Diceros bicornis minor: one gene and its partners. Each later gene encodes a partner of the first gene's protein in a complex. Links are inferred from orthologs where the notes say so. Each region holds a gene or a part of one and is shown on either strand. Other genes may lie near its edges.

The links.
Region 2: the proteins of BAK1 (region 1) and PXT1 are in contact, whole or in part, in a crystal structure (PDB 8GSV), measured with the Homo sapiens proteins. The link is inferred for Diceros bicornis minor from reciprocal best matches to the Homo sapiens genes BAK1 and PXT1. Residues at the interface, in NP_001179.1 of Homo sapiens: Ile81, Gly82, Asp84, Ile85, Asn86, Arg88, Tyr89, Glu92, Phe93, Met96, Leu97, His99, Leu100, Tyr110, Lys113, Ile114, Ser117, Leu118, Glu120, Ser121, Asn124, Trp125, Gly126, Arg127, Val129, Ala130, Phe134, Asn182; in NP_694535.2 of Homo sapiens: Ile78, Ile79, His80, Lys81, Leu82, Ala83, Met84, Gln85, Leu86, Arg87, His88, Ile89, Gly90, Asp91, Asn92, Ile93, Asp94, Arg96, Met97.
Region 3: the proteins of BAK1 (region 1) and BNIP5 are in contact, whole or in part, in a crystal structure (PDB 8IGC), measured with the Homo sapiens proteins. The link is inferred for Diceros bicornis minor from reciprocal best matches to the Homo sapiens genes BAK1 and BNIP5. Residues at the interface, in NP_001179.1 of Homo sapiens: Leu78, Ile81, Gly82, Ile85, Tyr89, Glu92, Phe93, Met96, His99, Leu100, Tyr110, Lys113, Ile114, Ser117, Leu118, Ser121, Asn124, Trp125, Gly126, Arg127, Val129, Ala130, Phe134, Ala180, Leu183; in NP_001010903.3 of Homo sapiens: Ile246, Ile247, Gln248, Met249, Ile250, Val251, Leu253, Leu254, Lys255, Arg256, Val257, Gly258, Asp259, Gln260, Trp261, Glu262, Glu264, Gln265, Ser266.

The regions. Positions count from the first base shown.
Region 1 is NC_080753.1:30,951,097-30,958,211, reverse strand, and holds the start of BAK1 (bcl-2 homologous antagonist/killer), read right to left. Parts: upstream 3,093-7,115; 5' UTR 2,873-3,092; intron 2,807-2,872; exon of another isoform or gene 1,787-2,806; intron 1,754-1,786; exon of another isoform or gene 975-1,753; intron 833-974; 5' UTR 803-832; coding exon 733-802; intron 1-732. Other genes in the region: gametogenetin-binding protein 1-like, read left to right, coding at 4,127-4,587, 5,195-5,310, 5,733-5,821, 6,052-6,199. UniProt on the Homo sapiens protein: Plays a role in the mitochondrial apoptotic process. Upon arrival of cell death signals, promotes mitochondrial outer membrane (MOM) permeabilization by oligomerizing to form pores within the MOM.
Region 2 is NC_080753.1:28,455,076-28,462,392, forward strand, and holds the start of PXT1 (peroxisomal testis-specific protein 1), read left to right. Parts: upstream 1-4,230; coding exon 4,231-4,399; intron 4,400-7,317.
Region 3 is NC_080753.1:28,533,119-28,540,614, reverse strand, and holds the start of BNIP5 (protein BNIP5), read right to left. Parts: upstream 3,071-7,496; coding exon 2,554-3,070; intron 1,449-2,553; coding exon 1,329-1,448; intron 1-1,328.

The DNA of each region.
Region 1 (7,115 bases):
TAGTTGGGGAAACTGAGGCACGGGTGTTTACTTGCACAAGGTCATACAGCTAGAACAAGCAGTGAAGCCAAGATATAATCCCAGGCCTCTGGGCCCCCGAGTTTGTTTGAGCATGTACAAGGGACCCGGCCCTTATGGCTTAGGGAATGTGGGGCTGTAAAAGTCACAAAGGGAAATAGGGACAGACCTGGGAGCTGAGCCCAAAGCCCAGGGAACAGCCTGTAGTGGGCTGTGGGCTGCAGGCTTCCCGATGGTCCCGTGGGAAGAGGGAAGAAGGGCAGCCATCTTACTTCCTCCCCAGCAATCCCTTTCCCCGTTTAGCAGACCTGATTCGGTGATAAGCCAACTTACTTCCTTATTTCTCCTCAGGCAGGGATAGGCCAGCCACGCCCTGCTCTTCTCTCCTCCCCTCCCCCATCCTGCCCCGCTGCCCTGGCATGGCGCTGTGCCCACCTCATGCGCGCTCCCTGGCCTCTCCCAGCCTCTGTACCCTCCCTGGCCCAGACTCCTCCCCAACTCCCAGGGCTTAACCTTGACCGAACTCTAGCTTCTAAGGCCAAGGAGCCACCTGCTTTGGGTGGGGAGAGACTGTTCTCATTTATCCAAGGTGAGTAAACTGAGGCAGGAGAGCCTGCCCATAAGTCCTGGCTGACCCTGTCCACTTCTGCTCTCTGCACCCTCACAGACGGCCCTGGTGATTATGGGATGAGTGAGGGGCGGAAAGACCCTTACCCGAAGTGGGGGATGGGGCAGGCTCTCCACACTCCTGCCTGGGGGGACCTGGGCCTTGCCCGGACGCCATTTTTCAGGTCCCAGTGGAGGATAGGTTAGCCTGTGGGGATGGGTGAGAGAAAGCAGAGATGGGGACAAGCAGGGGCCACTGACAAAACGTTCCCACAGCCACATAGGAGGGAGGGGCCCCCCGCTCCCAAAAGACCCCACAGCCCTAGCTCCAGCCACTCCTATTTCACCACCTCAGGTCCTTGTGGAGTCTGCTGGCGGAATCAGAACTCAGAGAGGGTTTCACTGGCAACCTTTCCAGGGAGAACGGGAGACCGGCGCGAGAGAGGCGAGGCTGCCGCGAGTCACACCCAGGGATCTGTCCCTGGCCGCCAGGCCTCCGGGAGGAGGGGCCCCAGCAGTGCCTAGTGGATCTCGTCACACTTCATCTCACTCCTGGGCGAGTGAGGCTGGTTTCAGAGGCTGGGGGCTCTTTCAGCTGCTCCTGGGGCCTCGTGCACGCCACCAACACACGCTTACCGCGGGCTCGCCACCTTCCAGCCAATGACCCATGAAGCCCGTCCTTGAAGGTCCCACTTCCCCTTGGCTGGTCAGAGCACACCTGTTTTCCAATTCAGGCCTGTTAGCCGCAAACATTTCCTGAGCGCCTATGGTATACTTCTACCACGTGTGAGCACTCCCCAGGGGGTGCCGGACACTGAAAATGCACATTAACCCAGCAAGGTAAGCATCACATACCCGCTTTACAGGTGGGAAAAGTGAGGCGCAGAGGTTAGTGCCCAAGGCCACCTTGCTGGTCAGGCAGTCAGGACCGTTATCTGAATTTCCGTGAGTCCGTCTACTCAACACACTCACGTCAGATTTATTTTCCAGTTTGTGGACATCAGAGGGTGTCCTATCCAGGGCAGCTGTCCCTGTTTACGTCTGGCCTCTGCTCTTCCCACGCCTGCCTTGCAGTGAGCAGAGGAAGCCCTCAAGAGCCAGGGCCTTCTTCACAGCCCCCAGCCTGCCTCACATATGTACCCCCCACCACCCGCTTGCTCACCGGTCCCAGCCCCAATTTTCCTCTTCATCCAGCCCTGGCCGCAGCCCCGATCTGCTCTATGAACCCTTGACAGAGGGAGTATTTCCTGGACATGAGCTGTTTCACTTTCAGTTTGTACCCCCTTCATTTCCCCTCCACCCGAAAGCTGCCTCCATCAGCGTCCAGGCGAGAAGCACCCCTCCTCCCACCCCTGGGGAGGGCACAGCCCCGCCCTGAGCGGCCCCCTTCTCCCTGGGAGGGCCTGTGTACCCCCCGCCGGCCTCCCTCTCAGGCCTGGGGCCATTTTCGAAAGTGCCCCAAGAGAAGGGGTGGGGGAGGGCAGGACCACCTGTGCACTCAGCTCTCCACCCCTCCACCCTCTCAGAGCAGGACGGGGAGAAGGCAGAACCCCCTCCACCCCTGGGCGCTCGACCTCAGTAACACAGACCTTTGCCTGGCACACCCCCATCCCGGCAGCTCCTTCCTGATCAAGTTCTCCCTTCCCTCTCCCCTGGTCCCTGAAACCCGGCAGCCCCAGGACAGCAGGGCCCAAGGATGCTGATGGCACTCCCGGCTCCCTCCACCACCATCCCGGGGGCTCACTGCCAGGGAGCAGGTAGAGCCTCAGAACGGCCCCCCAGGGCCAGAGGCCTTGTGCCGACCTGGGCTCACCCCTTCCCCATCCAAGTGGCCTGAGTTCCTGGTAAGGGGAGTCCACTGCACCCCACTTGCTGGGCCCAGGATGTTCCCAGGGGGAGATGCCTGGCCAGGCTGCCCAGGGGCTCCTGGGGCAGCAGGAAGCACCATGAAAGTTCTCCCCCTGCCCTTGACCTTGGCTCTGACCTCCACTCCCATCCCCCAGACCGCTAAAGGACCTGGGTCTTTGGCACCCGATTCTCTGGCACCCAGGGCGGAGGCGAGAGGGGAAGCTGTCTGAGGGGCAGCCAGAGGGAGCCCTAGCTGGATCAGGCCCCCAGCAGGGGTTGGCGGAACTGCCCAGGCATTGAGGCCTCCCCCTCCCCACCCTACTCCCTGCAGGCTCGCTGCCCCACCCTGGGCCTGGGACTGCTGAGAGCGGGGAGGATGGGCAAGATCCTCCCGGCTTACCTGCCCGGACCCTGGCCCAGGCCCGGGGCGGGTCAGCGGGGCCGAGGCTGCTCCCAGGGGTATGGTGCTCAGGCCTGGCTTCCAGAACCGGGCGTCAGTGAATTCCTGGTGTCTGGATGCAGCCTCTGCTTCTCCAGGCGCGGCCCTAGGGACCCGCGAGGCTGCGGCGATCATAGAGGTGCCGGCTGCTCCCGGCTCAAATCAGCTCCCTCTAGAGGAAGTTGCTCTGTGGCCGCCGGATACGGATGCACCAGCCTAAAGCCTGGGGGGCGGTCTGGGCTCACACGGCCCAGGGAGCCACTCCCGCCCCCTACCCTCTGCCCCAGGCAGGCAGAGTGGCTCCCCCTCCCCTGCTGGTTTTCAGCCCCTGACTCCCAGCCCCTGTCCTTGATCTTTCCCTCCCTTCCATCAATCAACACCAATAAAAAAGGACGGTGACGTTTCTTAAGCACTACTGAGTGCCCTGCGCTTAAGCAACCGTTGTCTCACTGAATCTTCTCACAACCCTTGGAAGTAGGCGCTGTCGACTACACCCATTTTACAGATGAACAAATTGAGGCTCAGCTGGTTTAAGATACTCTCCCAAGGTCCCTGAGCTGGGTGTATAATCAGGTCTGTAGATGGCCGTGGGGAATAATAATACCAAATTGAGATTCAACGAGCAGTTAAGACATGTGCACCAGGCACCTCGGTGGTCTCTGGAGATACACAATCCTGAAGGTGATAGCCAGGTAAACAGAGAGGAAAACACAGTGGGGTCTGTGCTACCACCTGGGCATGGGCAAGCTGGGTGCTGAGAGGAGGGCAAGGGGAGGACAAATACTATCTGGCCATGGGGAGTGTTCTCCAGGACAGAAGCAGCCACAGCTGGAGAAGGACAGCTAGGCGGAGAGAGGTGTGTGCAGGGTGCTTAAGAGCCTCTGCTCCATTCTCAGGGCCCTGGTCCCCCCAGCCTCCTCTGTCTGCCCCCACCCCCATGCCTCCTGGAGCCTCACCAGCCACCCCCTAGTCTGGCTCCCATACCTCCTTCCCCTGCCTCATCGACCCCCTGCCCTCTCTGTCCCCAACTAACCCCCGCCATCATGTCCTCCCCCCAGCCCCCCATCACTCCCCCCACCTGCCTGACCTTTGCCTTCTAGAACTCCTGGAAGTTTCCAACTGGAGGTTTTAATTTGAAAGCTCCTCCTGTTCTTAAGCAGTTGGTCCTGGAGTGGCTGCTACGGCCCCTCCCTCTCAGTCAGGGTCCCCCTCAGGATGGAGGCCCCAGCCACAACCCCTCGATCCCGGATTTTGGGCCGCTCCTCCGTGTTGCGCTTCTTCCGTAGCCTGAGGGGGAGCAAGAGCAGCCCGAAAAGCTCTGACAAGGCACTGTCAAGGGGTCGGGCGTGCCCCTCACAAGAGCACGACGCCATCCCCCTGATGACGGACCACCACCGAGGAGTGGGGAGGAAGGAGCCCAGGCCACCCGCCACAGTGCCCTGCATCCTCTCTGTGGCCATGCCACGGCACGGTCCCTCGGGGCTGGGGGACACGGGGACCCAGACCCCCACCCCCAGGGAGGTCCTGAAGGTCATGGCCCAGGGTGTGGAGGTGAAGTCAGTCCTGCCCAGAGGAAGCCAGGAGGTGCTGGACGACCTGTCTGAGAAGGAGGGGAGGGAAGAGGAGGAGGAGGAGGCAGCAGGGGAGGCCTCCCGGGACACAGGGACCTCAGACAGGTGAGGGGCTGGGCTGTGGATGGTGGGAAGGGGCCTGGGATGGAGCTACTGGATGTAAGCCGGTGGAAGGATGTGGGCCTGAGATGGGAGGACCCAGATTGGAGAGGGTCCAGGAATGTGAGTCCTTGGAGGGGCAGCAGACTGGAACCAGATACCTGGGTGGCGAGGAGCCTGGAGATGGGGGTGTGGGGAGGAGACAGAGACAGGGATGGAGGCACCAAAGATGAAAGGGGGACAGGCTGGGGACTGGGAAGGGAGCATGCCAGGCCGGGTGGGCTCCCACTGCTTCCTATCTCTTTTCTGCCGCAGCCACCCCCCCCAACTTCCCTCCCACTCTGTCCCTCCCAGTTCCCACTCCCATTTGGACCTGGCACCCACTCCCTGTGAGGAAGGGGGCCCACTTCTCCTTCTGCTCCCCACCACCCTACCTTTGGGGAGGGATAGCCCCCATCTATGATGAAGACCTCAGAGGGCAGAGCAGGGAGCTGTTGGGAGCAGGAGGATGGAGGGGGCTGAGCAGAGCCTGTGTGAGAGCCTTGGAGGGGCTGGCATGTCCAGGGGCCTTTGCCACATCTCTGGGCCCCACCTGACTCTGCTTTGGGATCAGGAGCCACTTTGCCAGAGCCCTGGAGGTGGAGCAAGGATGCCTGCAGAGGGCCGTGGGGCCACTGGAGGTCAGCCCCGAGGCCTTCCCCAGGGAGGAGAAGGAGCGTCTGCTTGATGGTGAGTCCACGTGGCGGCCACAGGCGTGAAATGGACCCTCTTCCTCTAGGACTCCACAGGATGTGGAGCCTGGAAGGACACGGGACGGTCTGAGGGAATGCTGGAGGCAGACTGCCTGGGTTCGAATCCCAACTCCACTGTGCCCAGCTGTGTGACAGTGGCAAGTTGCTCAACCTTTCTGTGTCTCAGTTTCCTCATCTGTGAGATGGGAGTATAATAGTGCCTATCTCAGAGGGTAGTTGCAAGGATTACATGAGGTGTTCTTTGTAAAGTGTCTAGAACTGTGCCTGGCACATAGTAGGCATTTGCTAAAGAAAACAAGGAGACCCCACCTCAGCTCAGCACCGCCAATGTCCCTGCCCTTCTGGGCCTGGGCTACCCCCCAGTGCTATCAGCCTGTCAGTGACACTGGCCCTTCACAGGAGACCTCAGGCTGGCCTCTTTGAAGGTGGGGGCGACCCCCTGGAACCGCCTCCTCACCTTGTACAAGCAGCTTCAGAAGTCGGCAAAGGTCTGTGGGGCCAGACTGGGGTAATGGGGGGAAGCCTGGGTGGGGCTCTCCCCACATCTGGCTGGGCCTCAGGAAATGTGGCTGGGCCTAGGGGGCGCAGTGCCCTTTCTTGACCTTTGGGAGCTGTTCCCTGCTGCTTTGTGCTGTGTCTGGAGGTTGGTGGTGGGGGTGGGGCTGCAGGCTGGGGGCCCCACCTTCTCCACCTGCTCAGTGACCCCACATGCCCTCAGTTTCCTCTCAAGGAAGGCTTCCCATCTGAGGAGAAAGGGGAGGAAGAGGAAATAGAGGAAGAGGACAGGTCATTCAAGCTCTGTGTCCCAGGCACTGTCAGCCTCCAGTCACCGCTGCATAAGACCTTTATGTCAACAGACACCGTGGGTAAGTGCGGCGCCCCCACTTCCCCTCCAAACCCGCCTGCAGGCGCAGGGAGCCCCACTTTGGCCAGAGGCTCACGGGTGCGATACCAGTTCTCACCACCAGGTGGTACCAGAGGACTTAAGATGACCACCCGAGAAGTGAGACCAGTGTGTGGCTGGACTGGAGGCCACGTTAGGTCTAGCAAGGGTCCTTCTCCCTCAGGGTTTGGGAGGCAGTGAGGTGGAGGTTGTGACTGGGCTGTGGCCCCTCGAGCACCACCTTTTCCCAGCCTGGAATTCTAACTCCTTCTGTGGCCACCTCCATCCCTGGTTTTCCCATCATGCACTGCTGTGCCCCAAGGGTCCCCTCTCCCAGGGCAGCCCCTGTGCTGTCAGGACATGGTGAGCAGATGGCTCAGCGGTAATACCATAATATGGGGAAATCATTGTTGACATTTACATAGCCGTTACTATCAGCCAGACTCTATTCTATGCACGTTTATTGAAATACCACATCACAACTGAGGTAGGTCCTATTATAATCTTCACTTCACAGTGAGGAAACTGAGCCACAGAGAGGTTAAGTAACTTGTCCAAGGCCACACAGCTAGTAAGGGGGCAGAGCTAGGACTTGAACTCGGGAAGTTTGGGTGGTTCCATCCTTGCTCTTGAGTCAGTGGCTAGAAGAGGGGCAGAGGTCTGCCCCTGGCATGTCTCCCCAGGAGGTAAGGAGAGTCACAGTCATGATGAGGGAGGGAGCCCATGGACAGTGAGGGAGCCCTGGGGAAGGCAGGGGGAGGTGGTGTCCAGCTGGCTCCAGGTGATGGGAGAGGAAAGGGCTATGCTGGGGGTGACCAGGGACTACACAGGGCTGGCATGAGGTCCAGAGCCGCCACCTCCTCCTCCGGCCCCCAGCAGGTTGCCCCTCCCTGCTCTGA
Region 2 (7,317 bases), about 2.5 Mb from region 1:
TACTTTGAATTATTTTTATGCTCCCTGCATTGTCTCTATTTCTTGTGGTTCCTTTTTCCCCCCTGATGCTTACATGTTGGAGATTTTTTATTTTTTCATGTTGAAGGTTTTACTCTGGTATCTAGTGATTTTTGTCCATTCATATTTTAAGAGTGAAGTCCTAAAAGCTGACTGGAGGCCTGAGTGCACATTTGAGTCTTGTCAATTGAAGGGATTCACTGTAGGCTTTTCCTATGGAGACGCCCAAATGTCAGTATTGGTGGCTCTTTTTTCTGGTATGGTTCATTTTTTCCTGAAAAGTACTCTATTTTCTGCTAGAGAGTACAACTTGGCTGCGAAGTTCTGTATGTGAGCAGGAGGAGAAGCTTGGGTGTCTCATTCTCAGTTTCAGACTTAATTCCTCTCTTTGCAGGACGATGTCTCACTCCCACTCTGATCTATGCCCGGTGTCCCCACATCTAGAACTTCTTTGGTTTACTTTCTCCAGAGGTGACATTTCCTGTTTCCTATAGCGGTAAAAGTAGTAGCCCAATTCTATCAGGTGCAGTGGGGACCTGGGGATCTGACCACTTATTAAACAGATTTTCAAACAAATCTCCCTCTTCAGCACTACACTCCTTCCATCTCCACTCTTGTAAGTTCTTTCTGCACTTGACTGGCTTCCATTTCCTGAGTCTTCCCAGAGTTCCTCAGGGTGACCTGCCTTGCTTCTCCTTGGTTTCTCCTTCTCTTGGGTCTGCTAAGTCCTTTGCCATCCTTCATCCATTTTCCATTTTCATGCATTGTGGTTTGGGATGACTACCAGTTCAATAAAAATGAAATTTGTGTTTGTGGGGTCTTTTTCCCCCCTCCTTGTTATTTTTGAGAGAAGTGGTGCAGAAAAGATCTCAGCTATCTTGAACTGGAAAGTCTTCAGTGTTTTTATTTTTAGTTCTTCCAATGCCTTGAGTTTTTTACTGCCTTTGGGCTTTTGCGTTTGGTGTTCCAGCTCTCTGAAACATGTTCTTTTCCCTTCCTCATCTTCCCTCCTGGCCAATTCCAAGTCATCTTTTAGGTCCCAGCTTAAACATCATTCCTAGATGAGTCCTTCCTGACCACCCAGCCTAGGTTAGGTCCACTCCCCATGGTATATTTTCATAACACATGCCACGACTCTAATTAGGTGTATATGCCTGTCTCTCCTGCTAGACTGTCACCCCCATGAGGGAAGGGATCATTTCTGACCTGTTGACCGCTATATCCCCGGTGTCTAGTACAATGTCTGGCATTCAGTTAGGGATTAATATATATTTTTCACTATTGATCAATATATATTGTTTGCTATAAAGACTCGTAGCTTAATTGACAGTTGCCACCATCAATAAGTAGTCACTTAGAGTTCAACAATCCTAGTTATTGTTATGGAAACACTATACTGTAAATATGGACTCTTGTCCATCTCCAAGTTTATTTTACAATGAACACTTTTAAAATTATAACGTACTGACAATAATATAATATGCACTCAGATCAACATAGGGTGTAAATTTTCTATTCCTGCTCTTAGAAATTACCACAGACTAAGTGGCCTAAAACAACACAAATTTATTATCTTATAGTGCTGGAGGTCAGAAGTCTAAAATGGGTTGGTGTTCCTTCTGGAGGCTCTAGGGGAGAATTGGTTTCCTTGCCTTTTTTAGCTCCTAGAGGCTTCCTTTGTTCCTTGACTCATAGACCGTTTCTCACATCACTCTGACCTCTGCTTCCATTGTTACACCTCCTTCTTTGACTCTGGCCCTCCTGCCTTCCTCTTATAAGAACACATATGATTAGGCTGGGCCCAGATAATCCAGGATAATCTCCACTTCTCAACAGCCTTAATTTAACCACACCTACAAAGTCCTTTTTGCCATGTAAGGTAAAATATTCATGGGTTCTGGGGATTAGGATGTGGACATCTTTGAGGGGCCATTATTCAGCCTACCAGATATAGACAGCAGTGTGAACCCATAGATGAATTAGTTGCTGCAAGAAATGATAAAAGCTTCACTCATATATATTTTAAACTTTATGTCGGAACAACCTTCAAGCAAAGTAGATAAAATAATTTTATTAAGTGAAAAATATCATAAATATATATTGAAATAATAGGACAAGATACCTAACATAAACCAATGATTATTAGATAGACAACATATATGAGTTCAATGGTTGCCTAGGCTTCCATGTGCAAATCCATTATATGCTTTTGTAAATCCTGGGGTTTCCTGGTATTTTCAGGTAGGCACACCATGTCTTAAAGGCAATTATCTAATTATACTAACTAATTATACTATATAAAAGAGCATAGTGTTTTTTTTACATACATTTAAAAATAAAATTTAGATGAAAAATATAATTAGCATTGATTATTTTTCAATAAATACCTCAACATCCTGCAGAATTGTTTGGGAAAAATTATATTATAATAAAAACCTATTTGGGGAAAATCAAGTCCAACATTCTTGATCGTTTAATTTAAAAGACCATGGTTAGATATTTTATTCTCTGTTATCTAGCAATGTCATGTGAATAACTAGTACAAAATGACAGTTTCACAATGGGCTGATGGGTAAAGCTGTCAGTTGGCTCTTTCAGATAAGAACCTCACCCCATAACTGCATCTTGACTATCAACTTTGCCCACTTAGTAATTTAATAATTTTATCCAGGGCTGATCTGGCTCTGATGCGTTAGCCGGAGAGCATGTCATTTTCTCACTGGAAAATTTATTTGAGAAACCAAATTTAAGGTCAGAAGGTTGCCTGACGAGTATAGTTAAAACGTCAGGCTGCCTAAGACATCAAGAATGCCCAGGCACTCACACCCCTTCATCCCACAACCCTCTCCCCTAATCTGGCCCAAATTACAATAATCAAAATATTGAAGTAGCATTCTACACAGGAAAATGTGGTACATTTGAAAAATGATGAGTCAGAATTCTGCTTGATGATTCCCCCCTCTTATTTTATGTAGCTGAGACAGCTGCGTATTGCCTTTCTCTCAGTCATTTCTTTTCAATTCTTGCTTCTTCCTCTGAAGGTGCAATACAGCTTTACTGTATTTACTGTCCAATGCAGTAGCCACTAGCCACGTGTAGCTACTGAGCACCTGAAATGTGGCTAGTCTGAATTGAGATGTATTCTAAGTGTAAAATACATGTCAGATTTTGAAGACTTATATTAATGAAAATATAAAATATTTCATTAATAATTTTTTATATTGATTGCCTATTGAAATAACATCATTTGGATTTATTTTGGGATATATTTGGTTACATAAAATATATCGTCAAAATTAGTTTTACCTGTTTCTTTTTACTTTTTTAATGCAGCTACTAGAAAACTTAAAATTACATATGTGGTTCATATGTTTTTATTGGATAGCACTGATCTAAGGCTCCTGAAGTCCTCCCCCGTTACCTTCTTTAGTCATTCTTATCCTTTCTTATCCACGGTCTGACCTCTCTTATCCATTTCTTCCCTTTCCAGTAACTGCTTAGATTTAGAAGGTAAAATAGAAAGTCAAACCCTGTGGCCAACCTTTAAGTAGAGAGAATTAAGTGCCCTGGTAGACAATGAAAGTCTTAGTTCAATTCTTCAATTTATTGGATTGGTACTACAATGTTAGGAAAAAACGGAAGGGGCTGGAGAATAGCCTTCATTAGTGTCTGTAGAGGTGGACTGTGTGTTTATGTATGTGGAGGATTAAAGAGAGAATACCAGAATCATTCTGGGTAGGAAACACACACACACACACACACACACACACACACACACACACACACACACACGCACATACCAGGGAGTAAGACAAAGAATGTATCCCATCTCCAAACCTCCTCACTTTGGATTTTTGATCTGTTTTTCTTTTGGTTACACTAATTTGTCTCTCCTTTTTCTGTGTGTACTAATTTAGACTGTTCCCTTGATGGAATGTGGCTATTGAAAAGATGAAGAAAAACTGCGGGGAGATGAGGATGTGGGTGGTGTAGCAGATCTAAAGACCAAGCAACACAGAAAGATGTTTATCTAAGTTGAAAAAGACCTTAGAGATCCCCCTGTTCCATCTTCCACCCAAATCTATAACCCTTTTATGTATGGAATAAAGGCTGCTTGTATTGTTAGAACACCAATTTTCACCTAACATACCAAATATATACTGAGAAATGGGGAAAATCCTCTGAAAATGTATTTTTCAACAGGGAAAAAACATGAAGAAAATATATGATGCCACTGTTTGTGAACCTAAAGAACTTCTGAATCCCTCTCCCAAAGTAACAAATTGTTGCAAATCACCCTGGGTGAAATACAGTTTTCAGAAGGCATACATGACCCAACTTGTCAGCTCCCAGCAAGTTTCAGCCATGTCAAGGAACGCCGGTAAGATATTATTTGTATTAAACTAAGATAAATCTTCTGCTTAGGGTACATTTTTCTTGATATTGAGGACATAAAATTGGGCATTAGATTATTTAAACATTAACTGTAAGAAGAGAGTGGTAAATCTATTCATCAAAGTTTTTAGGAGGTAAAAATGTAAAACCGACTTTGCTTCCTGGTATTAAATCTCTTAGTTTCTGTTAACGCCGAATCATTGATGTTACAACTAATTAGGATGATCTCAAATCTACTGAAATAGATCAAATTTATTTTTTAATAAAAATTTGTCTTTACACTTGACCTGACGGTGTCTGCATTGGTAAGGTGGGGAAAATTCAGTTTAGGTTCCTTCTTGATTTTGCCAGTATAGGAAAGAACATGAAGGAACGATAAACTTGAAATTTTGTTTTGCAAAAATGTATGATTCCTAAATGTCTTAGAATGTTGGAAAATTAAAGTCTTTTGTTTTGAAGAGCATTAAAAAATGTTGGGGTTAAATTTATGGAGTTTTAGACTTTTAGATTAAAAATATGCTAAACACCTGAAAGGAATTATTAAAACTAATCTCAAACTACTCTCCAACTTAAAAAGATTTACATGCCACTGAGAAAGTGGAAATTTCAAGCATCCTGAGCGTCTCTTGCCACCATATCAAATGTGGTATCCGTTTTCTAGAAAGAACTCAATTGACTAAAGTTTTGAATTTTCATCTGTGCAAGTGTCAACAGTTATGTCTCAAAGCCTGAGATTGTCACCTATGCGTACCTTCTAGAACATATATTTTTTTTTGAGATGTAATTCATACACCATAAAGTTCAACTTGTTAAAGTGCACAATTCAGTGGTTTTTAGTATATTCACAAAGGTGTGCAATCGTCACCAGTCTTCTAGAACTTATATTTTATTGTAAACCTTTTCCAACATGTTTTCTCACTCGCTATACCACTTGATCCTCAGATTGCTCCTAAAGCTGATGGGTACCTTCTGAGGTGCCCTGTGGGCGGTTGCCACATTTACCCAAAATGCTTTCGTAATTACAGTTTCACTTCAAAAGCAGAAGCAGGGTGAAGAATTAATAATGCTACTACCTTTGATTATAAATAATAAGTAACAGCCAACTACTTAATCTACACGTTTTTCATGCCTAGAACGCTCGCTTTACTGTGTATGTAAAATCTTCTTTGTGACTGGTATTTTAGTCGGGTGGGCCACCAGTGTGCGTTCAACGACTGTCAATCAGAAACAAGGGCCCCCCCCCCATTAGAGGTGGTAGCGGACACAAGCCTCCCTTTTCCTCCCCACGCTTTTCCTGGCCCAGGAGGCAGCAGCGCCTTTCTCCCTTTATACTTTAGGATATCGCTGAAGAAGTGGGGGATGTGCAGACTGAGGGGGCGGTGTGAGAGGGACGTGGAGTTAACTACTATAGACTCGAGAAGGCCAAAGCCAGGCTAATCAGGCGCCCGGCTGCGTACTCCGGGGACCGGGTCTCCCCGCCTCCCGCTCGGGTCAGTGGCTGGAAGCGAGCCAAGCGCGCCCCTGCCGGAGACCGCCCCCGGCCGCGCGCGCACCCCACGCGCTCCCCATTGGCCACAGGGGGCCACGTGACCTCGCCCGCCGAAACCGCCCCGCGGAGCGCGCGCTTTTCCCGCCGGTGAGCTGGCCTGGGCGGTGCGGCGGGTCGCGGGTCGCGGCGAGGTGTGGAAGGTTGCTTAGACGGCCCAGGGAAGCTCTTCCGCCGGGCACCTTAAAAAAAAAAAGGCCCTAAGTACATCCCAAAGTAAAACTCTTACTGAGGAAGCTGATTACTGAGAATGTCGCGTTACTCCCTCAGTGGGTTTTGTCCCAGGCTGCAACACAGACCTGAAAATGGAAATCACAAGCCATTATTGAGTGGAAAGTGACCCGCTGAAGCCAAAATTTATCTCTGTTGCTTGGGGGAAATCTACACGTATGAACATAACTCTTTGGGAAAAAAACCATAATTTTTGTATGGGGAACTTAAAGCCACTTTTTCTCAGAAAAGTTGAGGGGGTGGGTAAGAACTTGGGAAGTCCAGAGCAACCATCCTGATACGTCATTTAAGAGAAATTAGAAACTCTTGGGAAAACGAAAATGAGTAAAAACAACAAGAGGCCCTGCCCAGCTCTAAAAACGTAATAATTATTAATAAGAAAGGGCAGAATTAAAAACATATATATATGTATATATGTATGAGTATATGTAGTGTGAATGGGATTTATTAATTGTAGAAGTCAGTAGAGTCCAATTCTTCAGCTTCTTTCTCCCTTTGAGAGTGCATGGATGTTCATTTTTGCCTCTTTTTTATTTTTTTGCCTCCTAGGCTCAGCAACTCTTCTCCCTCCTCCTCTAGATGGACACATTTTCTTTTTTTATTCATTCAAAAAAATACTAGGGCCTACTATTTTCCAGGTACTGTGCTAAGTACTGGGGTGACAATGGTGAACAAAAACAGTAACAGTCCCTTCCTTCCTGGAGTGTACAGTCTGGTAGAGGAGGCAGATAGAGGTCAATTACATGTACCAATGTTAATAATAATGTGATAAGTGCTAAGAGGAGGTTCAGATGATGTAATGGGGCTTTGACCAGCAGGGAGTTTGGAGAATCCTTCCCTCAAGGTGTAACCCTGGACTGAGACCTGAAGGGGTTAAGGGAAATGAGGGTTGCAGCAGAGGGAGCAGGTTGTGCAAGGGGGAGCTGGTAGCCTGTCCCCTTCCAATGACTGCCCGTGTCACCCTTTTCCACTATACATACATTAATCTTGCCTCTTAGTTCTCAGAAGACACTTTTTTCTTTCAATTCCAAGTTCTTAGGGAATAACTCATAACCTATAATTATTGTTATAGATAGTGTATATCCAATAGGTAAGTATACTACTATACACATCTAATATGCATGATC
Region 3 (7,496 bases), about 2.4 Mb from region 1:
GCTCCTTAGGCCGCAGGAGGGGGGAAAAGCACGACATCCTGGGGCTGCTCCTTTTGAGAGAGAGTTGGAAGATCCACAGAGAAGGGTACGAACCCAAAGCAGGAAATTTTTATAGGAAATTTCAGGTCAGCCCTTCAAGCATTCAACTTGGGCCCCACTATTTCCTCTGAACTTTGTAGATCTGTAAATATTTGCTTTGGGCTCGGCAAGTTGTGTGATCTTGGGTAAGTTCTTAGCCTCTCTGGGCCTTCTTCTCTTCCCTTGTGAAATCCCTGTCCTGCTCCCCTCAGAAGCTGTCAGGCCGTCAAATGAGGGACTGTGCTTGGAAATACTTTGTAACGGTGATGCTTATCTTCTAACCTGCAAAATTCCCGTGGGGGAAATGGTGGAGACCTGGCCTAACTAAAGTGGAGGACAGACGGACTCCAACAGGCGTGACGCAGACAGCCTGCCACGATGACGCCTCCACCACACAGCGGAGTCTTTACAGGGAAGCCACCAACAACAGAAATGGTTTTCTTTGACACTCCAGTCAACCCATCCAAAGACAATGTGCCTAGAGTGGCCTCTGCCAGTTGCCAGCTGAGCAGTTTAGGGGCAAACAAGCTTCCCTGTTTCCAGGCTGTCTGCAGGTTTTTTTGCCCCTCACTCCCCTCCTTCACTTCTCTCTCATTTTTAAATCCTGTTTGGCTTTTGTTCCTTGACTCAGTCTACCAGCTGATTCCCTCTCAGGTGAGAAAACAATTAGCGCATAAAATAAACACCCTGCAAAATAACCAACTAAATGCCTTTTAGCTATTCTTTGACAAACACATAGCTCCTCCCTTGCATATCTTTTATAATATGCCCATTCGTTATAGGGAATTAGATTAATAGAGCATTACCAATTTTATTAGGAGCAATAACAGTGTTGTGGTTGTGTATGACTGTCTTTATTTCTTGGAGATGCATGCTTATTTAGGGATGAAGCATCCTTTTACTTGAAAATGGTTCAGGAACAAAATTATACACACACACACACACACACACACACACAAAGCAAATATGGCCAACTGTGAATAATTGTGAGTATATGAGTATGCCTTGAACTATTCTTTGCACTCTCCTATATATTTAAAAATATAAATATAAATTCTATATTCCTCTATTCTATATTCTTTCTATAAATTTAAAAAGACTTTTAAAAAGTCCCATTCGCATTAACACACAAGGCATCTGCATTTTGAGAGCGACCGTGCCAGGGCTAAGCAGCCGTCCAGAGCAATCCATCTCATTGGTGACGGCCACCCCAGCTGCAGGCAGAGGACACTAAGTGGATTCCGACTCACGGTCAAGCTCTGTGAGCTCCTCTTCCCGCTGGTGACCTGTGACGTGGGCAAACACCTCTGAGAGTCCAGCACCCTCGCCTTCGATGGGCAAGGCCTGGTGGAGAGCAGAATCGCCCCCGCCTGGAATAAAGAGGAAGGCAAATGTGTGTTGGTGTGGGTGTGCGTCAGTGCTGTTCTCCTGACCTTGTTAATCAACACGATAAAACGGCAGAGAAGTCACAGCAGGACAGACGCTGCAGCAGCCAGCTCTAGCCTCCACCAGAACATCAGAGACCCACCGAGATTTCAATTCGAAGAGGCTGCCTCAACCCAGACATCCTTCCCCCAACCCACAAAATATCCCGGATCTTCCTGAGGTCTCTTCTCCCATTAAAAACACAGTGAGTTTTGAGCACTATGGGGCAAATCTCCATCCTTCTCTAGGTGTCTATAGGGCACCCAACTCCAGGATCCTAGAGTCAGAACAGGAAAGCACCTTGGGGCCAGCTCCCTCATTTTACAAATAAGGAATCAAAGGTTCCAGAGAGGGGAAGCAACTTGCTCTAGGTCACACAGCAGGTTTATTCCTAATGGAGGCAAGTCTAGAACCAAAGTCTAGAACCAACACCCCAGCAGCTGGCTCTTTCTACTTCCCCACATCCACCCCTAGTCCTCACATATGGACTAGTTGGGGGGTAGGTAGGGCTTCCCTCCTCTCCTCCCTCCCTGCCTTCTCATTTCTCCCTGGTCCATCATCCCGGAGCTGGAGTACTTAACAATAACAGCTATCGTTTATGGAGCACTTTCCATGTGCCTGCTCTGGGCCGGGCCACCCCATGAGACAGCAACCGTTATTATCTCCATGTGATGGATGAAAACAAACTGAGGCTCAGAGAGGGGAGTCGCCAGCCCCAGGTCACACAGCTAGTGCATGACGGAACTGGGGTTTGACCTCAAGCTCTCAGCCACAGTGCCATTCTGCGTCAGAGAAATTTCCCAGTGGTGTTGTCCCTGATAGCTGCCCCAGCTTCCCAGTCCCCGCACTTGAGAGGTTTGAGGAGCTGGCTTAGAGCACCCTAGCCCTTGGGGTGGGGCAGTGGGGTTACCATAGAAACGGGCATGGTCTGCTCACCCCTGCGAGCTGGGCCCAGGTCAGCCTCCTCGGAGCGCGAGGCAGCAGCCGTCCCGGGCAGCCCTGCCTCTTGGCCTGCCACCTCCCGGTCTTGGGCCCCCTTGGTTTCCTCACCACGTTGCTTGTGGCCATGTTTCTTGCGGCTGGCCTTCTTGTCGTGGGCTTTCTTCCTGGAAGCTGGCTCCCCCGGTGCTTCAGGGGCTTCTGCAGGCTGCGAGAGGCCCTCCTTCCCCTTTGCCCTCCTGCTGGCCTTTTCTTTGGGTTCCTCGGGGCCTGTCCTCAGGAAGAAGTTCAGCAGGGTCTTCAGCCACCCCTGCTGGGCCCCTCTCTGGGCCTTGTCTTTCTTGGCGTCCTGCAGTGGCCTCTGCTCAGTGGGGAGAAACTCTTTGGTCTCCTCCCGGCCGAGGGCTGCGGCCGTGGTGCCCTGAGTCTCCGCAGCCTGAGCTGGGCTCTCCGGACGTCCGGGCCCGTCGCTGACCGCCCGGCGAAGTGCCCTCCTGGAGGGGGTGGTGGACAGCGAAAGGCACTGGCAGTCCCACGACTCAGAGTCCTTCCTGGGGTTCTGTGACCTGTCCAGAGACCTGGCTCTCCTCCCTGACTGAGGCCTCCTCGGGCCCCGTGGGCGCTCCATTGCACTACAAGCAAAACAAACAGCTCCCTTAGGAGAGGCCGAGCAGAGCCCCCGAGGGGGGCTGCCAACGCTGGCCGGCGCACCCAGCCACCCTGCCCACAACCGGCAGTAAAATCCACTCTCCACCCTGTTGTCTCGTTTCAATTCCTCAGCAACCCGGGAGGGTGGGGCATCCTTGTCCCCATTTTCCAGAGGAGGAAACTGGACTACACTACCACAGGAGGTGGTACCCCAGATCTCACAGCCAGTCCGTAGCTCCCCCGAGCCTCCAGAAGGAGCACAGCCCTGCCAACACCTTGATTTTAGTCCTTTGAGACTGATTTTGGACTTCTGACCTCCAGAACTGTAAGATAATGAATTCATGTTGTTCCAAAGCCACTGAGTTTGTGGTATTTGTTACAGCAGCAACAGGAAGCGAACGCGGCTGGAACAAGAGGCCAAGTCCTGCCCCTCAGGCCTCAGGCGGCTCGTGCCCCTTTTCTGGCCCACATGCCCGTCTGAAACATGCCCGAGACCTGCCTCTCTGTCTCACAGGCTGCTAAGAATATTTCACAAGACAGCTCCGAAAACAGCAACTCTCTTCTCCCAATTGCTCAGGCCAAAAACGTGAAGTCATCCCCCACTCCTCTCTTTCTCTCTCTCCCCGCATCTGATCCAGCAGCTGATCCAGACCTCAGCCACATCTCCCACCTCCTCCACCGGGGTCTGGGCCCCAGCTCTGCTCACCTGGACTGTTGAGGAAGCTCCTAACTGGTCTCCCTGCTCTACCCGTGTCCTCCTTCCAGAAACTTCTCCCCTCGGCAGCCCCGGGGGCTTTACAACATGAGTTAGAGCATGTGGCGCTCCTGCCTCCATGGCTTCGTTTTCATTCAGAGTCAAAGTCCTTCCAGTGTCTGGCAAGACCCCACACGACCTGGCCCCATTACCTCCCCAGTCACCTCTCACTCACTCTCTCTACTCTGCTCACACAGCCCTGCTCACTGTCCCTCAGGCCGACTCTGCCTCAGGGCCTTGACACTGGCTGTTCCCTCCTTCTAGAACATTCTTCCCCTAAACAGCCTTATGGTTTGTTGCCTCACTTGCTTCAGGGCTCTGCTCAAATGTCACCTTCCCATAGAGGCCCCACTGTGCACCCCCATTAGCACCCTGTCCTCCCTTACCACCTGAAGTTTAATTGTTTATTGTCTGAGTCTCACTCCCTCCCCTTTCTCTATTTTGCTAGGTCTTGTATCCAGAACAATACATGGCACATTGCTGGCACTGAGTAACTCCTTATTAAATAGATAAATAAATGTATTACACACACAGTCAACTGTCCAATACAGAAGGTGTCTCTGTAGTGCAGTTAACATACAATAAATGTATTTGGATCAGTCGCACATTACAGCTGGAGAGTCCCTTCCAGTCTCCATTTAGAATGAAGCAGCTGCCCACGGAAAAGACGAAAGAACCACCTCCTCCTGGGCGGCATTTGAAGCAGGCCGGGGTGTGTGCAGTTCATTTGTGTGTCTGTGATCTGAAACTCCTAGGGCTTTCCAATTTTTCTAAAGTGTTCAGAAACCCTTTGCCCTTTGGTGGAAGTTAAAGGAAAAACCAAATATGGTTTTGAATCCCAAACCTGAGCTCCCAGAGATTCCTGTGGAGTTTAAATTCATGGATTGCCTATTCTAATTTGTAATTACAGCCTTCTCAGGCATTTACTAAGTGTTATTGAGTGTATTATGTATTTATGTATGTATTATGTATTTACATCACATCTCCTGCATTTACCAACTGATTCATTTACTTTCAAATGTAGTCTATTACTATGTCCAGCTTAGAGGCAAAAATAAGAATCTATAATTGCAATTTCAGATGTGGGGGATCATTGTGAACGTGAGGAAGATGCACAAAGAGAGAGAAGAAAAGGCACGCGGAATCACAGAGAGGTTTGAAGGTGACAGTGACATTCAGGATGCCTTCCCTCCTTTGAGCCCTGGTCTGGGGAGGAAGGACAGAGACCATCGATTACCACCAGCACAGCTGGGCATCCACAAGTGGACAATCTTCGAGGAAATCACAAAACAGGCCAGGGAAGAGGCAGGCAATTCCGAAGGCTTTATTTGCTATTTAATGTTCCTTGAAAGGAACATCTGGGTTATATGCAAACTTCTAGCAATACACGTCTATATCTTATGTGGAAATTGACTAATGTTCTTGAAAGCTTCAGAGGCTGCCTTGCTGTTGTGCTTCTGAAATACGGTGTGGGGTGGGATAAAGAGAAGAAATCATAGAAGAAAATATTTTTCTTTCTTCTCACTTATTTCTTTCTACAAACACTAATAAGCACCCACTATGTACCAGGAATTATGCTCGGTGCGAGGGATATAATAATAAACAAGATATAGGGTGTGCCCTCAAAGAGAATGTTCTGGTCTTCAAATGGACAGGAGTGGGGTTGTGAGGAAGTGGTGATGACAGAATGCCCTATTCCCCTCATATCTGCTCTCTCTCCAGTAGCATATGGTCTTAAGAGAAGACAAATTTAGGTGGAAGGTCTATTTGATTTTAAGATCCAAGTAAGCTGAACTAGAAATCTTTACTGAATGGTGTCAGAGTTCTCCGCTTTTTCCATATGTTCCTGTGGCCAGGGCAAATTGGATGGGGTTGGAAGAGAAGCTGTTCAATAACAAAACCACCAAACCAGCCAAACAGACAGGACACCCTCTTTCAGCTCAGCCCCTTTTCTTCACATGCTAAATTGGCTCTAGGGGGCCCATTGCACAGAGGGCCGGAGCATCCTTCCCAGCTAATGGGAAAAGAGGTGCAATAATCGTTTAGAAACCTGTCATTGCTATGGAAACGGTTTTCGCCATTGCTCATGGTCGCAGTGGCCTCCTACCGCGTTCAAGGGACACATTGCTACTTCTAATCAGAGCATCAATACAATTCTACCGGGCAATATTTTCCTTTTTGATGTTTTTTCAAGAAAACTGCCTTGATTTGGTGACCCCCTCCCTGGAACTACAGTGCCCTGAGCCCAGAGGGAGGTGAGGAAGACTAAAGAGCCACATGCAGCAGCTGCTGCGGCCCAGCAACAGGGAGAGGCAGGATGAGTGATGTGTGGCCTTAGCCATCCAGGAGGTTTCCCCAGTAATCTCCCAAGGCCTCCTAATTTCAAATCCAGTGACCTCTTCCCATTCCTCATCCTCCCTCAAGGTCCTGTGGCCTTTGATACCATGCCCGCTTCCTTCTTGAAACTCTCTCCTCTCTGGGCAGCTGTGACCCAGCTCAGCCTGGCTCTTCTCCTACTCTCCGACTGCTCCTCCTCTGTAATGTTCCAAAGATTCTGTCTTGCAACACCAGGCCCGGGGGGGTTGAGAGAGTGTGGCTGGCCAAGGAGGGCAAACCCACCCACCCCCGGGGTGATATGCTGGAAGATCCTCTCTGTAGCAGATGTGTTCTCAGACTTTTAGTCTCCAAGCTCTGAGAAGATTGTGTTTTAATATTATCTCCCCACACAAACACTAAATTCTGTGTGCTGAAATTAAATCTTTCCAGACTTGCTGACTGCAAAATTTTGCCTATCCAGAATTCATCAAAGCAAGACTTTCTTCCTCTTTTTTCTTGTTTTGTGCCCCTGCTTTGCCTGGGCATGTTCCGCCTGACTATCGGGGGGTCCAAATGCTGTCCGGGACACGCTTCCAGACCAGTCACCCTGAGACTGCGTGGAAACCCGCTGCTCTTGTAAACTTGTTTATTGCCTTGGCAGAAAGTGGATTTCAGAGCAAAGTCCAAGTCGGCTCAGAAATACCCAGGTGATCTGCAGATCACAAGACTTCTGGTAAGATGTGACGTACACCAGCAACGTGTTTAAAAACAACAGCAAAGCCCCAGAGGAGGCACCCAGAGCTGACCTTGAGTTACTGTGGAGCAGGAAATTTGCCAATTTTTCCCAAGTGTGCTGCCGTTTTTGGTTGCTTTTCTAAAGTATACACCGACCTCATCTATACTATTCTCTCATTTATTCCCAGACGCGTTACTCTATAACTGCTCTGGCGCCGTTTCATAGGGAGATCTTGCCACTCCCTTCTCCACGCCCGTAGCTCACACAATCAATATTTAACCAGCAGCTGGCTGCGCCAAGGAGGAGTGTGTGTGGCACACACATGTGGACCCACAGTCAACAGCCACAGACAGACACTCATTGCTATAGACGGAATGTCTGTGTCCCCCCAAAATTCATGTGTTGAAACCGAGCCCCCAAGATGATGGTATTAGGAGGTGGGCCTTTGAGAGGTGATCAGGACTTGAGAGCAGAGCCCAGTCTGTGGTAGTTTGTCATAGCAACCCAAACGGGCTGACACTCATATGTCACCGAAAGACACTCCTGTACACTATAAACCTACGTGCACCCATAACGCCCTGCCCCAGGCGTAAGGGAATA